Rhinolophus ferrumequinum: one gene and its partner. The protein of the gene in region 2 binds, or shares a complex with, the protein of the main gene of each other region. Links are inferred from orthologs where the notes say so. Each region holds a gene or a part of one and is shown on either strand. Other genes may lie near its edges.

Region 1 (7,638 bases), on a different chromosome or scaffold from region 2:
AGAGAAATAAAGAGTCTTCTGTTGATAAAACTGAGATCTGTTAAAATGTGAAGAGTGGGGTTGAGGAGGTAGGAAGTTGTGTCATAAAGCAAAAGAGCAGTGAGTACAGGGGTTTGAGGTACAGCAGTTTTAGCTTATCTAAGAGCAGTCAACAATAGTGCCTAAAAAAATGGACTTAATGAGATGTCAGACCCATTCGCACTTCCCATCATGGTTGTATGTTACCAACCAGAGAACCTCCTCTGTACTTTTATAATAACATACAAAATAAACACCAAATGAAATCTGTCCTATGAAAATTTATTTAAACACGAACATATTCAACAATGATTAAACATGTGGCTCAATAAAGATATTTATTGTTAAAATTACATTAATCTAGCTCTTCCATCATATCTACCAGATGTCACAATGAAGAAAGAAAAAAGATTCAAGATGACAGAGGATAGTACTCTCTGCAGAATAAATCTAGGTTAGATTTTACTTATATTTTAGAAATAGTACAAAAGTAAGCTTAGTCAATTAAAAATATAATGCACATGTCACAATTTATTTGGCTAGTTGTGTAAAGATTCAAAAATATATCTTAATACTTCTGGTTTTAAGAGATTAAAAACAAGATAAATTGTTTTTCTAAATAGATTTAAAGAGATCAGTTCATAAAGTAAATTACATATGCATATACTTTAGTATAACCCAAATATATACTTGTTTTGCTAATTAGAACTTGTTGGTTCCTTAAAAATTTGATCCATTACAAGCAATTCATTGTTAAAGAAGGAAGAGAGAAAAGGAGGGATGGAGGGATGAAGGGGGGAAGAGGGAGGAAGGGACGCAGGGAGGAAAGAAAGAGGGGAAGAGGGAGGAAGGAAGAAAGAGGGAAAAGGGAAATAAAAATTAAATTACTTCTCATAAAGTATAAGTTTCAATAATGTATCAGCAATTTTTGTAACTTCCTTTAAAGGTAGGAACTCTTAAGAGACTCAGTCTATTGGGTTTAAAAACCTTAAGATCACTGGCTTAGTTAAGTTACACCTAAAATATCAATTGCACTTCCTCCTCCTCCTTCCTAGATTCCCTTTTATCCCTTTATATCTCTCTCCCTCTCCCTGGCCCCATCTGTCTCTCTCTCTCTCTCTCTCTCTCTCTCTCTCTCTCTCTCTCTCTCTCTCTCTCTCTCTCTCTCTCTTTCACACACACACACACACACACACACACACACACACTCACGCAATGTGTTTAATTCAATTATAAGTCTAAAATAAAGTAGTCCAATAGGGACAATGTCTTGAGAACAATAAATGGTAGAAAGAATTAAAATACACTGTAAGTTAAATAAATCAAAGAGCCATATCATTTATTGGCTACATTACCAAAACCACTCTTGTTCCAGACAAGCCACTATTGTCAGGTCTAGACAGGTGTGGCTCCAAAATCTCATAGAGAGTTTACAAGTGCTTCTCTCGGTGACAATGAGCGAGACTGGGAATGAGAGAAGGAAATAATCCCAGCCTTAAATCCCAGTGTACAAAAGGACATTGCTAGGTGTTTCAAAAATTTTAAATATCATTTTCTATCTCTACAGATGACAACAGTTGGATAAAGCATCTCACTGATCATAAGTTTTCTCAATGCACCTTCCAAATCCACAGGTAGACGGATTCAACATCATGCAGAGCCAGGCTACACTTTAACCATCACCCTGAACTTTAGTTTCAGGTTGTAGCAACTCATATAACTGGGCAATATTTGGATCTATGCTAGCTCAGTATAGTAGAGTTCAGTGGTGTTCATATAAATTTTGGTTCAAAACTCTCGAGAAAACTATAGTTGATCTGATCTTCTGTACATGGCCAAAAAAAAAAAAAAAGGCTGGTTTCCCTTGTTTCACTAGGATCCTTAGGAACCAAGTTAACCTGGGATAGATCCAGGCTAAAGTAAATCCCAAGATCTGAACTATAATAAACTATATGTCAGGAACCCATTGGCTCTTGATCAATTTCAGGAATGGATACGTGGTAGGAGTCAGGTGTTTGCCTCACTTGAAGAACTTGCCAATCATGCTATTGGATATTGCATACATCTGAAAAAGCACACAGTTACCCAAATTGTCCTTTATCACAAAAGTGAAGATTTACACTAGAGTAAACCCAAATATGAAATCTATTTTCAACCAAAAGATAAATAATAAATCTATAATTTTTTTCAGTGCAGTTCTGCTATCTTTTACAACCATGTAATTCACTTGATAATACTAAAACCATGCCGAAGAACACTGTACAAGTTTCGTTCTTAAAGATTTTTAAAAGTGACCTTTAACAAGCTAAGAAAACAAGCTGAAGAAAATCCCAAATCTATGGTACCAAATCTATCCTCATTATAAATGGTGATTTAGACAACCTGATTTATGAAGTCATCAATGTCTATAATTAAATACTATAGTCCTACTTCATTTCACGTTAGCAAAATTATATTACTAAACGATGTGCCACAGAAAAGACATTATTATAATAAATATTTCCCCAAGCTCAAGCAAAATTTTACTCTCAAATGGAATGCAATGTAAATTGCAAATACCAGAACCAAGAAAAGGGAGAAACATATATTATATAAAAGCCTCATAGCCCACCTTTCTTCTTGACTGGCATTCTTGGTCCTTCTACTGTCACAGGATGCAGGATCTCTTTTCAGGTCTCAACTCGATCCAACTGGATTGAAGCCAAGAGCCAGGTAACTGTTGCAAACCACTTCACCTGTTTAGTTTTGAAATCCAGGCTGTCTTCTTTCAGGTAAAGAAAAAATAGCGTATCTTTTCCACAATTAAACTTTTGACATTGCCCACAGAGTTTAGTGAAAAATAACTTTTGAGTTTTTCAAGTTTTTCAATTTTTATAAAATATTCTGTTTTTTAAAAAGCTAATAAAATTATTGTAAGCATAGAAAATATTATTAAAACTCCTCTTCAGGCAGCAACATTTTTGAAGATCAATGAATAACTCAATTAAGGCACAAACCAAATTTACAAAGCTGTTTCATTACTCAATACATGATCTAATTCAAAAATGAACTGGTTGATGAGAAAGATCCTCAATTCTTTAGAGAAAAATTTAAACACCCCTCCAAAAAATAAAAATACTTTTAAAAACCTCTTTGACTGGTCTCTAAAAAGGTGGGTGAGTTTGAAGAGTTTCCTGGGGCAGAACACAGACTGAAAGGCCCCTTTCTATTTACTGGACCAGAAGTTCCAGATCTCGCCCCCTCAGTAAGACAGGATCCAGCTTGCTGTCACTTTCATTTTTTTTCTTCTGTGTTGTCCAAGCCCCTCAGGCTTGATCCTTAATGCCCCTCTGATTCTGATCCTCCCGTGTATTAACCGAGAGGACTGAAAAGAAGGAAAGCAATCCCTTGGCATGGAGACATTAAAGTGACAGTGCTACTCAATGGGCACTTGATGCAGGATGAGTTGGCGAAGCAAATTTCTTCACACTGGAGTCATTCACATCATGCCATCTCTTCGCATCCAAGCAGCTGCCTATCCAGCGAGGAAAAACACTGAGACTGCTCCAGAGAAGTCAAACCTTCCCGCAAAGGTGTTTTCTGAGACGCTGTAGTAATATTAGGCATGTGAGCACAAGCTGTGCAGAGAGAGTTCGCGATTTCCTAAATGAGAGTGTTCGGCTGCTTGGCTTCCACATCCACCCTTTCTCTCAATCTCTCTCCAAACTACCCACCTTCCTTGTGCAGAAAAGACAAGAAATCTGTGCTACCGCTGGCCACCCCTACCCACACCCCATTCTTATATAGAAGAGCACAGAAATGTCCTGCACCCTCCAAGCGATGAAGTGTTTCCTCAGGCAGGAGAAACAGCAGCACTAGAAATTATATAACTCTCGGATTTGGCTTCTCTAAGACATGGAGGCTGGAGGGTCGGGGGTTGCTGGTCTGGGAGATACTGCTGGGCACTGAGCGTGCACAGAAAGGCGCCAGGCCTCGTTGCTGCGCCCCCCACCCCGAGACACTGGCTGGCACGGGGGTCTTCTCGGGAATTAGGGGGCAAATTTCCCTCTGGTCCCTTTCCAAGCGGAGTGAAAGGATGGAAGATGAGGGCACTAAAGATTAGGAAGAGGAGTCAGTCGGCTGCGAGGGGAGGAGGCCAGTCGGGGCTGCCCTGGCGGCCGGGTGGGCTCAGGGGAGGAGGTGCCTGAGAAGCCAGAGCCTTAACACTTGGGCCAAGCCAAAGGCTGAGCTCCCTCAAGGAGTGAGAGGGGCGGGCAGCTCGGCCCCAGCTAACAGAGGTGCCCAGAAGAGAGGAAAGCGCGCAGTAACATCCCTGCGCTCGGACCGCCCCTTGTCTCCCTCGGGATGGGAGAAGAGGGAGCTAGGTTAACAAATAGCAAAAGAAGGGAATGCAGGGCTGGCGGGGGGGCGGGCCTACGGGAGTCTGGACCTCCTCGAAGCCAATGAGAGGCCGTAATTTCAGGAAGCCGCACCCAATCACAGCCAGGATGGAGGGCGCGGCTTTTGACTAAGTCGGGGCGGGCCGGGCGGGCCGGGACTGCGGGAGAGAGGCGTGACCACTTCCCTCCCGGCGTTCTCGGTCCCCGCCCACTCGCTAGTCACGTGAGCCCTCAAGATGGCGGCGCTCGGGCGTGAGGCTGGGGCTGACCTGAGGGATGGAAGTGTGGTGCCGGTGGGAGCTGGGGAAGTGCGCAAGGTAGGCGGAAACCCAGGTGGTATGGGCCCTGATTTCTGTAGCCTCAAGTGTTGGAGGACTCTTCTGGAATGATGTATAAGGGGCTTGAATACCTAAAGAGAACAGCTCCCAGGTCCATGCAGGGCTCAATCAAGTCTCCAGTTGCAATGGAAAGAGGCGGAAAGAATGTAGGAGACCTAAAGTCCAGTCTTGATTGCTTGATTTTTCTTGCCTCCTGGCCTTTGCACTGGCCTTTCCTTCAACTTGAAAGGCATCCCTGCATCTCTCCCTCCCCACACAGCGCGCGCCAAATTCTCCTCTTTCGGATATTCGCGTAAATGTCACTTCCTCTGGGAAGCCTTCCCACATTTACCCTGGATAGGTTAAGTTTGGCTTTTGCTTTTATGGCATACTCACTCTGCGTTTAAATTCCCTGCCTTTTTGTCCAGACCTCCGTCTGGGTTGTGTGTCCCTGAGGATGACTACATCTTGATTATCCCAAGGGTTGTCAAATGATGGAAGATTGTTGAATAAAATTCTGAAAGTCAGGTGAAATAGTACACATAAAAGCACTACAAAACCATAAAATACTTTGTAAACTATAAATCTACATAAATACACTCTTTCTGGTATGATCATGGAGACCAGTTGAGTGGCCTTGGACTATTTAGATAAAATGTTGGTTATAGCAAAAATCTTTGTTTCAATACTTGTCAAAAATCTATCAAAAAGCTATCCATATATTTTTGTTTTAATAACAGTACCTTCCAAAGACTAGGCACTCAATAAATATTTGCTGTCCTGTTTTAGTATTTTAGGCTCATAATCCTGTGTCCTCCTAGACAAGGTAGGGGGTTGATACAAGTCATAGCCTGAAAGTTTTCTTTGTGAGGAGTAAGGGACTTCAATGAATTGAATGACAGCAAAACAAAAAATTTATTCAAGGTTTCTGGTTAATTATGTTACTGACTTCTGTCTTCATAGAACATTAGATATAGAACCTCCCCCCAGATGTTACTATCTCTTCTCTTCCATTTTCCATTTAGATGTCCGAGGCAAAAGATTAAATCTAGTCCCTGAGAAACTGTAACTTGTAAAAAAAAATAAAATTTTCCCTGTCCTCCCCAGATATTTTAAAGAAAAAGATAGAACTACCATGTTTCCCCGAAAATAAGACCTAGCTGGACAAACAGCTCTAATGCGTCTTTTGGAACAAAAAATAAGACCTGGTCTTATTTTACTATAAGACCGGGTATAATGATATAATACAACATAATATAATTAATATAATACCGGGTCTTATTAATTTTTGCTCCAAAAGACACATTAGAGCTGATTGTCTGGCTAGGTCTTATTTTTGGGGAAACATAGTAGCTTGAGTACAGTCTAAAATGATGCAAGGAAAGAAACTAAGTCATTATTAATTAGTCACTGTGTAATACCATACAAATGTCCAAAGGAGCCCATATCTTCAGGATATTTATACCATGGATGAATTGGCCTTTCATTAGTTAGGGTTAGGATTGGTACATAAGAGGTCGGACAATTAAGTTCAAGAACTCATCCTAGAAAAAGTGCTACATACCTCATTGCTGAATATCACTATGGTCACCTTCGAAGTACGCCCCTTGGGAAGCTATGCACTGATGCCAGTGCTTAGTCCACCCTTCAAAGCAATTTTGTAACTCTTTATCTGCAATGGCCATCAGAGCTGTCATCGTATTACCCTTGATGTCCTGAATGTCATCAAAATGTCTTCCTTTCAATATTTTCTTTATCTTTGGGTAAAGAAAGAAATCATTGGGGGCCAGATCGGGTGAGTAGGGAGGGTGCTCCAATAGTTATATGTTTACTGACTAAAAACTCCCTCACAGACAGTGCAGTGTGAGCTGGTGCATTGTCGTGATGCAAGAGCCAGGAATTGTTGGTGAAAAGTTCAGGTCATCTAACTTTTTCACGAAGCCTTTTCAGCACTTCCAAACAGTAAAATTGGTTAACTGATTGCCCATTTGATACAAATTCCTAATAAATAATCCCTCTGATAATCAAAAAAGGTTAGCAACATCTTTGCAACAGGTTCACAAACTTAATTGTCTGACCTCAGCTTATTCAGCAAATGAGTATTACAGTGATGTTCAACATGTGTCCATTGACTGCCAGCAACAGAATCACTTGGTGCTATTAAAATGCAGATTTCTAAGTTTCACCCTACTCCTGTTGAATCCACATATCTCAGGTGGGAGCTCAAGAGACTGCATTTCAAATAAACTCCCCACATGATTCTTGTGCACAGGAGAGGTTGAAAATCACTGATTTATTAAGTAACTTCTGTGTTCATTGCACTTAATCCACTCTAATTTTCTTGCCTGGGACTCCGGAAATTTGAGATTTAGTCTATGCCATTAACTAAATTTGATGTAAAAATGGAGATTGGTATAAATTGTGACGGGCCATACACTTTTCTTTGAATGAACTTTCTATTCATTGGCTAACCTGGAATCCCATAATTCTAGTGTGGCAAAAAATTTAATGTTATTAAGACTTTTCACAGAGATCTAAGAGTCTTACCCAGAGCAAAACATTCAGAAAGGATCCTTTCTGAGGATCCAGGGTGTTGTGTTTTTTTTTACCACTGGTTTCTGTGAAAATGGTACTGGCCAAATCCTCATGGTCCCTTGACATTGACAACCACCTATTCATATATCACATTTGGGACACAGGAACCTCCAACCCTGGTGTCCAGTGCCATGAGACCCTACTCACCGGTATACCACACAGCAATTTCCAGGAAAGGCCCTGCTTTCACCCCAGGTACTACTAGGGAGCTGGATATGTAACTCATGTAATGCAAGGTAGCCATGATCCACTGCCTCTTCCTAGCCTGGAACAGTGTCCCTCTTTGTGATTTTTTTTCTCTCACTGTTCTGCAAGGCAATCCCTGTTCT
Region 2 (7,122 bases):
ATTTCCCAACTTGAATGGGGAAGGTTTATGGAAGGATACTTTGTAACAATGATACTTTTTTACATGTAATATCTAAAAATAATTCCTAAAAAGTACTTAGGGGGCCTATTCTCTCAAAGATAAATTTAACCATTGCCACTTCAAGTAGGATGAGCAGAGAAAAACAGGACATGACAACATAAGCATCATTTAAAATAAGAAAAGAAATAAACTCAAGTAATCCAATATGTATGTAGCTCAATTTTTTTCCTTGAAAAAGGCAGAGTAAAGTTTTCATAAATACTGAACTTTATCACTCTGAATAGAGAACTCTGATTCCTTTATTATCTTGGATGCTTTTCATTTTCTAGAACCCACTGCATAAATATTATTTCATAAAGAGTGACACATATTATCTCCATGGAGGCACATGATGGGGTAAAAAGCCTAGGTTTCCCTCAAATTCTGTTTTGTTTTTTTCCAAGAGGTGCCAAAGGCAAGTATCTTCATGATTTGCAATTTTAAAATGTTGAAGAAAGGGTGTGGCCAACATAAAAAGTAAAGTCACTATCAGGTCACATGTTAAAAGAAATTCTTCGAATTCTCAAAGGTTTGAGCTTTTAAAAGCACCGAAAGTTAAAACAGATTTTAAACAACTCTGATTTAGTTACTACATACCTCTTCCCATCAAGAAGCAAGGCAAAAAAAAAATACAAAAAACAGGCCTCAATAAAAAGCATCCAACAATTCAAACAGCTTCAGAGATCTAGAAGAACCACCAGCTTTGCCACCTTAAACATCTCTGTTAATTTCTTTCAGTTATACCTGCACACACTTCAAGACACGAAGTTATTTCTCTCCCAAACTACTTAAGAGTGTCCTGCTAAAAAGATCAGCATCAGAGGTGGTCTCAAGCATTAACATAATAAGTACCTGGGCTGTACCTGGTAAAAATGCAGAGTCCAGGGCTCTATCCCCTGAGGATCTGATTCAGTAGGTCTGGGATGGGAGCCCCTGCAAAGTACATTTTAAATAAGCAACCCAGGTAGCTTCTCACACAGGTGGCCCTCCTCCCACCACCAGAAAAAAACCACTGTAGAAGACTCACCTGCCTCACCTTCAGCAAGGACTAAGTTGATGATAATACTTCTGACATAATGGCTTAGATTCCCATCGGGAAAACCCAGGGATAAAGGACCTCCTATGTTCCACTCTCACCCTAGACACTCAGAGAGTTGTCATGGTTTGTTCTTTTCCCCAAGTACAATACACTAGACAACAAATACGATGCTATAATCCCAAATGAAGACCTAGAACTAGATGGAGCAGTCCAAGGCACCTTGGTCAGGAAAGGCCCAGAATGCATTCGTTTTGTTCTCAGGATTCTTAAAGACCCCCAAAGCAGGCTGACTGAACTTCTGCTAAAGATTTCTAGTGAAAACTTCTAGAGGGCAGAGATTTTTCTCTGATTCCTCTGACAGCCTGGCACAGTGTTGAACAGACAGGTAGATTGAAGGCACTCTGTTAAGATGTGCAGGGAAAGAGAATTTTGATCTGGTTCCCATCTGATAAAAGAATGACAATGAGTGGTTGAAGAGGAGGAAGTTGAAATTGCTGTTAAAATGTATTAGGTATTACTTACACATTTCATGCTAATTTCTTTTTACAAATAGAGTTGGGTTTAAAGTTGCAATCCCCTCCAATTCTTAACTTTGGAAAAGCTCTTTGTGGATCTCTCTACCACAAAAGGAAGCTCTCAACTCATTTCATTTGTCAGAATTCTGTGGAAAATCACTAAGGACAGAATAATCTGCTTATTTCATTCATCATCAGAACCGACATCTTGACAGTGCTTTACCAAGAAAGCCCCCCAAATAATCTTTATAATTGATGTACCAATTTTCTCTAAACTATTCAATGTACTTTACAAACATGAATTCTAGCAACACGGAAAATGGCCATAATACACATTCTCATTTTGCAATATGAAAAAGTAAAAGACTAACAGATTAATTGGAAAGAGTACATACGCCTTGTTGTTGTGCAGATTTGGGTTCAAATTCCAACTCTACCAATTACAAGTTGTGTAAATTTGATAAGTTACTTCTTCAATCTCCATTTTCCTCATATATAAAATGGGGAAAATCATACTTAACTTCATAATTTGAAAACTTGACAATTTAAATAAAGCACCTAATTAAGTGACTAGTTCACCCTAGGCACTATGTAAATTGTAGCCGATGTCATTATCGGAAATAACTACATTTCTAGATCAGAAAATAGTCAAAAACAAAAAAGTTCTAATTCTCCTAAGTGTCAGTCTAAAATTATCAACCAAACTTTTACAGTCAAGAATATATATTTTTTATATTTTTGCAAATTTCAAGAGCCTTTCATTGAGAATATTTTTAACTTACCTTTCAATCGTATCCCCAAACAAGATTTCTATCCCTTTGATACTTCTCCAAAGGCCCCATGACTTCCCCACCCCATACCATCATTTTCAAAATAACCCTCTTCAACACACCTCCAGCCCCTCCTCTTAAAGTCCTCCCCTTCCATGCCCCAATATTTTAGTCTTAAGACCTCTGGCCTAATACAAATGACGCCCAGGAAGCCACTACACAAAAGCTTTATTTGCAACTGCTTGTACCAACATTCTTACGTACAAATACTTGATCCTAACGATAGCACAATTATTGATAGATATACAAGGCTAATGTTATACCTAGATTTTACAGTTACGACCAAAGATATAGCTAGAAAACAGCATAGCCCATCCTAAAACTCAAATTTTCAGATTCCAAGTTCAGTACTCTCCCTACGCAACTTACAAAGCTACTACTCTTGTATATTCTTTGTATCATTTGTTCACAAAACACAGGGGAAAACCCTTTTTTGCATCACTAGAGCATTACTACAAAGACAGCTTCCTCCCTACAGTGCTTTTCTAGAGTATATAAACAGTTCAAGCAACCCCCCCAGGACATTGAGACCAAAAGTTACTTTCTACACTTCCTGCACAATCTTCAAGTAAGAAAGAATTCTGGGATGCTGCATGAAAACGGCTAAGAGATCTTAGTCTCAGTCCTTCCATATCGCCCTATGTACTGCTCCACTTCTGACCTCTTTCCTTCTTCTAAGAGTTTTCTTCAGTCTGATATCTCATCAGGGACCCTTCTCAACCACGAACGACCCTAGTTGCCAAAAAGATTCGTGCCCGCAGCTAAGTCTTCCTCGCTAAGCACCGCAGAGGGTCTCCGGAACATTTACGAATGCCCCTCCTCTCCGTCCACACTCCTTGTCTGAAAAACTTCATCTTCCAGAGTCCGCACCTTCTCGTCACCTACCCCCCCCAAACCCCAAAGCCCCACGCTCACCCCTTGCACCTCCTCCAAAACCTCCCAGCCTCTCAGGTTGGCCGGCGATACTTCCTACCTTTCCCGGCCCGGATCGTTTGGCCTGCAGCCCGCCGCACCAATCTGGTCCCGGTAGATGACGGACCCTTCCGATCCCCCGAACCCGAACCCGAGGCCCACCAGCCAGGTCCCTGCCCCGCCTCCCCGCCCAAGGCGCCAAGTCCTCGGGGCTCAATCTCCAGGCCCCGGCGGGACTCCATGGGTCCCGGGAGATGCAGGGAGGATAGGAAGGAGGCAGCAGCGGCGGTCAGGGAACGGGGCTGGCTAGGCACTCGGGTCGGGAGGCCCCGGGCCCGGCCGGCTCCCGGTTCCCGTGGCCCGGACTCAGCCCTCCCGCTCCGCCGGCCCGCGCCTCCGCGGCCTGCCCTCACCTGATCCAGGTTCTCGTCGCTGCCGCTGTCCTCCGTATCGGAGTCGATCACCACGCGGCCTTTCCGCTTCTTCACCATGGTGGTCCCCCGGCTCCCACGCCGGACGCCGCCCGGACTCCCCTCTAGCCCGCCTGCCAGTGGGACCGCCACTGCCGCCGCCACCGCCGCTCGACCCACACAAAGGCGACCGCGCATGCGCGGTCCGCTCCGCCCCTGGCCCCGCCCCCTCCCGGCGCACGCCGTTCGCTGGCGCTCGGCGCCCCGCCCTGCTCCGCCCCCGACGCAGCGTGGGAGGCGGGGCCCAGCACCGGGCTGGGTTCCCGGTAGCGGACCACTTTCTCTTTCCCCGCGAGGGCCTCTGGAAGGCTTGGGTGTGTCTCTGCTGCGGGGCCGAAGCTTAGTGGGCTGCCTACCTATGTCTTGGACTGGAGACGTAAGCATCCGGGTCCGCTCTGAGGAGCTTTTCAACTGTCCGATACTGATGGAGTGTGGAGGACGACGAGAGCTGCCCTCCTGGAAGACACAAGTCGCCTAGACCGCCCCAAGGGATGGAGGATGGGAGAAGCTTTCGTATCTCGGTGGTGCAAGTGACAACTGAGCTGGGACTTGAAGAATGCATCTGAGTTACCCAAAAGAAAAGTAAAGGGAAAGTTGTACCAAGCAGAAAACCGCGTGGGCAAAGGCCCAGCGATAAAAGTTGGGTTCAGGGAACTGAAAGTTCATTATGGCGGAACAGATGACATGGTGTGTGGGGATAAGGCTGCGGAGGGACACGGTGGCCACATCATTCAGAGCCTAATAAGCTATATTAGAAAGTATTGAGAGATTTAAAACTGAAGAACATAATTAGATTTGTGTTTTAAAAAGATTACTCTGCCTGTAGTGTGGCAAACGCATTAGAAGGGGGGAAGACTAAGGGCAGGGAGACCATTGAGGCTGTTGGTGTCATTTTAACAAGAGATGATGGTGTCCTGAACTAAGGAAGAAGCAGTGGAAATAGAAGTGGATGGATAATTCGGAATGTAGAATTACCAGGACTTGGAGATTAGTTGGGAGAGGGATAAGGTGAGCTCCCAGACACAAATGACACTCAGATTCTGCCATAGGAAGCTGGTGGTCAGTGGGCCCTTGGCTGAGACAAAGAACACAGGTGGAGGAGAGGTTTAGGAAGTGGATGTATGTGGGAAATAAGTTCAGTTTTATGCCTGTTGAGCTTGAGGTCAGCTCATAAAAAGGGCAGCTCCAGAAGTGATTTCTCTCTGGGATTTGGAATACAGGGTAGAGAGCATAAGCAATAACAACTTGAAACTGTTCTCAAAACTTTGGAGTCCATTAATTCTTTATTCTGGTAATGAACTTGGGAGTTAGACCCCAGTCTCTCCTAGGCATTACTGGGCACAGGCGGGCTGATCTCAAATCAGGCCCAGAGTTCTTGGTCTCTGGCTCCTTTTTTCTTTTCCCCCTTTACTGTGTAAATTATATTTTCTCCAGCAGGTTTACAATACATATCACAAATGTGCATGCCTTAAAATAGTAATAAAAGAAAATATCGCATCATACATAGAGAAACTCCTGGGGAAATAAATACATACCTAGGTATCCAGTTCGCTACCAGTTATCTTGAATAGGTGTTCATCATTCAGGTAGAAAAAACAACCTAAATAAGGCGCAGCTATCTTTTTACTCCAAAGGAGTTTTCCTAAGATATAACCCCTAGACTTCTCTCCCAAAACAATATCCTTGGAACTGAGAACATGGCCAAGATGATCCAAAACGACCAGGCCAGCTCCCCCATTTCTAGCCACCCTGAAGCCGGGTGCCCTTCTGTGAGGCAGGGTCCTCCTTTTGATGACCTGATTATCTCTATTAATTGGTTCAGAGTCTGAAAACTGGGTCAGATCTGAGAGTGGACAAAGGATGATCACTTTTTATTGGGGCAACTGCCCTCAGCCCCCTGATCAGCCAACTTTGATTTCTCCTGATTCAAAGTTGGAGAGCACCCTTGGCTATCCATCTATTTTGTCCTTGGGGATGCTATGTTCTGTTAACCATCTCCATAATTCTCTGAGGGTCAGGCCTCCTTGGTTGTCTTTCTGAGCTCTCCACTCATAATAATTGCATCTACCTGGCTTCTGGCAGTTAAGTGCTGCCACCTGACCGCCTGTGTCAAGGTCCTGTCACCCCATGACTGTGGTTAGCTGAGTTTTGTAACAACTTCTACTGTCAGTCCTGTCCTACATAGGAGAACCACTACTGAACTTTCAGGGATGCCTGTGCACCTTTTACCTTCACATTCCTGATGGCCTTGGTAAATGGAATATCCTGTTGGTCTTCCCATGGAACAATCATTTGGGGGGATTTCTGATCTTATATAGTAGATCCACTTTGTACTTCTCAGCTTTTCAATCCCGTCCTACACCATGTGCTTTGGCAACTCTGGCTTTTTTTTTTTTTTAACTTCATGTGGGCTGTAGAGTTTTCCATGCTTTAAGAGTCATTCTAGTAGCAAATCTGCACCATTTCCTGGGTCCTCAGCAGAGTGATAATTTCTGTGGCCCAGGAGAGTGCTCCCAATCAATAAACACTCCTTAATCCAATTTTACAATTTGGTCCCCTTAATTAAGCACTCTCAGAATCCAGTGTTTTGCTACTCTTCCAGCTTTTGCTATTATGTGCTTAGCTAGTTCTTGCAGCACCTTTAGGGTATAGTCCCTTTCCTCCCTTATCAGGTTCAATCTGTCCCCCACTGGGTTATGTAATGTTTTAATACTAGTTATTGGCCTATCCAGGAGGGAGGTAAAGGCAGATGCGGTCTTATTTGGTACAGGCCTCTGCACTGTCTAATAGCAAGATGGGAGAGCTGCATGGTGAGCCATTTCTGCAGGTTCAGAGGGCTCAGGAGGGTGATCATTCAAGATCTTCAGTGGCATCAATCATAACCCCAACCCAAATGTCTGTCTGGTCCCATTATTTCCCAACTAGGGCCTTGGCTTAGATGACCTGCCTGGCTTGGAAGTAAAACCTTATTAGAGCTCAGACTATTCTGATCATTGTCCAGGGCCTCAGTTTCCCCTGCCATCCCACTGCAGGTGTTGAAGCCCTCTTCATATGCAATTAAGGAGGCCCTCCGGCTTTCATACTTGGCTTTCAGTAACAGTCAGCCAATTCTACTATCATAGTTCCTATGCCCCACCCCCATATTTTTAAAATACCATCCCACCAGCTGGTACCTTCCTTTCCACCAGCATACTATCCCTATTCACCAACAATGCAATATTTAACAACTGGACCATCAGATCTTCATTGCTAGCTGTGTGCTGGGTAACCCAGCTTCTAAACATTATTTTATTACC

What was found. Proteins that work in one complex are often made in the same cells at the same time.
Region 1: NDUFAF1 (region 2) and TMEM126B share a complex: the UniProt entries of both Homo sapiens proteins name them as parts of the mitochondrial complex. The link is inferred for Rhinolophus ferrumequinum from reciprocal best matches to the Homo sapiens genes NDUFAF1 and TMEM126B.

What each region holds. Positions count from the first base shown.
Region 1 is NC_046294.1:58,590,505-58,598,142, forward strand, and holds the start of TMEM126B (complex I assembly factor TMEM126B, mitochondrial), read left to right. Parts: upstream 1-4,617; 5' UTR 4,618-4,633; coding exon 4,634-4,714; intron 4,715-7,638. Other genes in the region: DLG2 (disks large homolog 2), read right to left, coding at 2,630-2,648. UniProt on the Homo sapiens protein: As part of the MCIA complex, involved in the assembly of the mitochondrial complex I. Participates in constructing the membrane arm of complex I.
Region 2 is NC_046289.1:63,892,178-63,899,299, forward strand, and holds the start of NDUFAF1 (complex I intermediate-associated protein 30, mitochondrial), read left to right. Parts: upstream 1-4,122; 5' UTR 4,123-4,513; intron 4,514-7,122. Other genes in the region: RNA polymerase-associated protein RTF1 homolog, read right to left, coding at 3,770-3,964. UniProt on the Homo sapiens protein: As part of the MCIA complex, involved in the assembly of the mitochondrial complex I.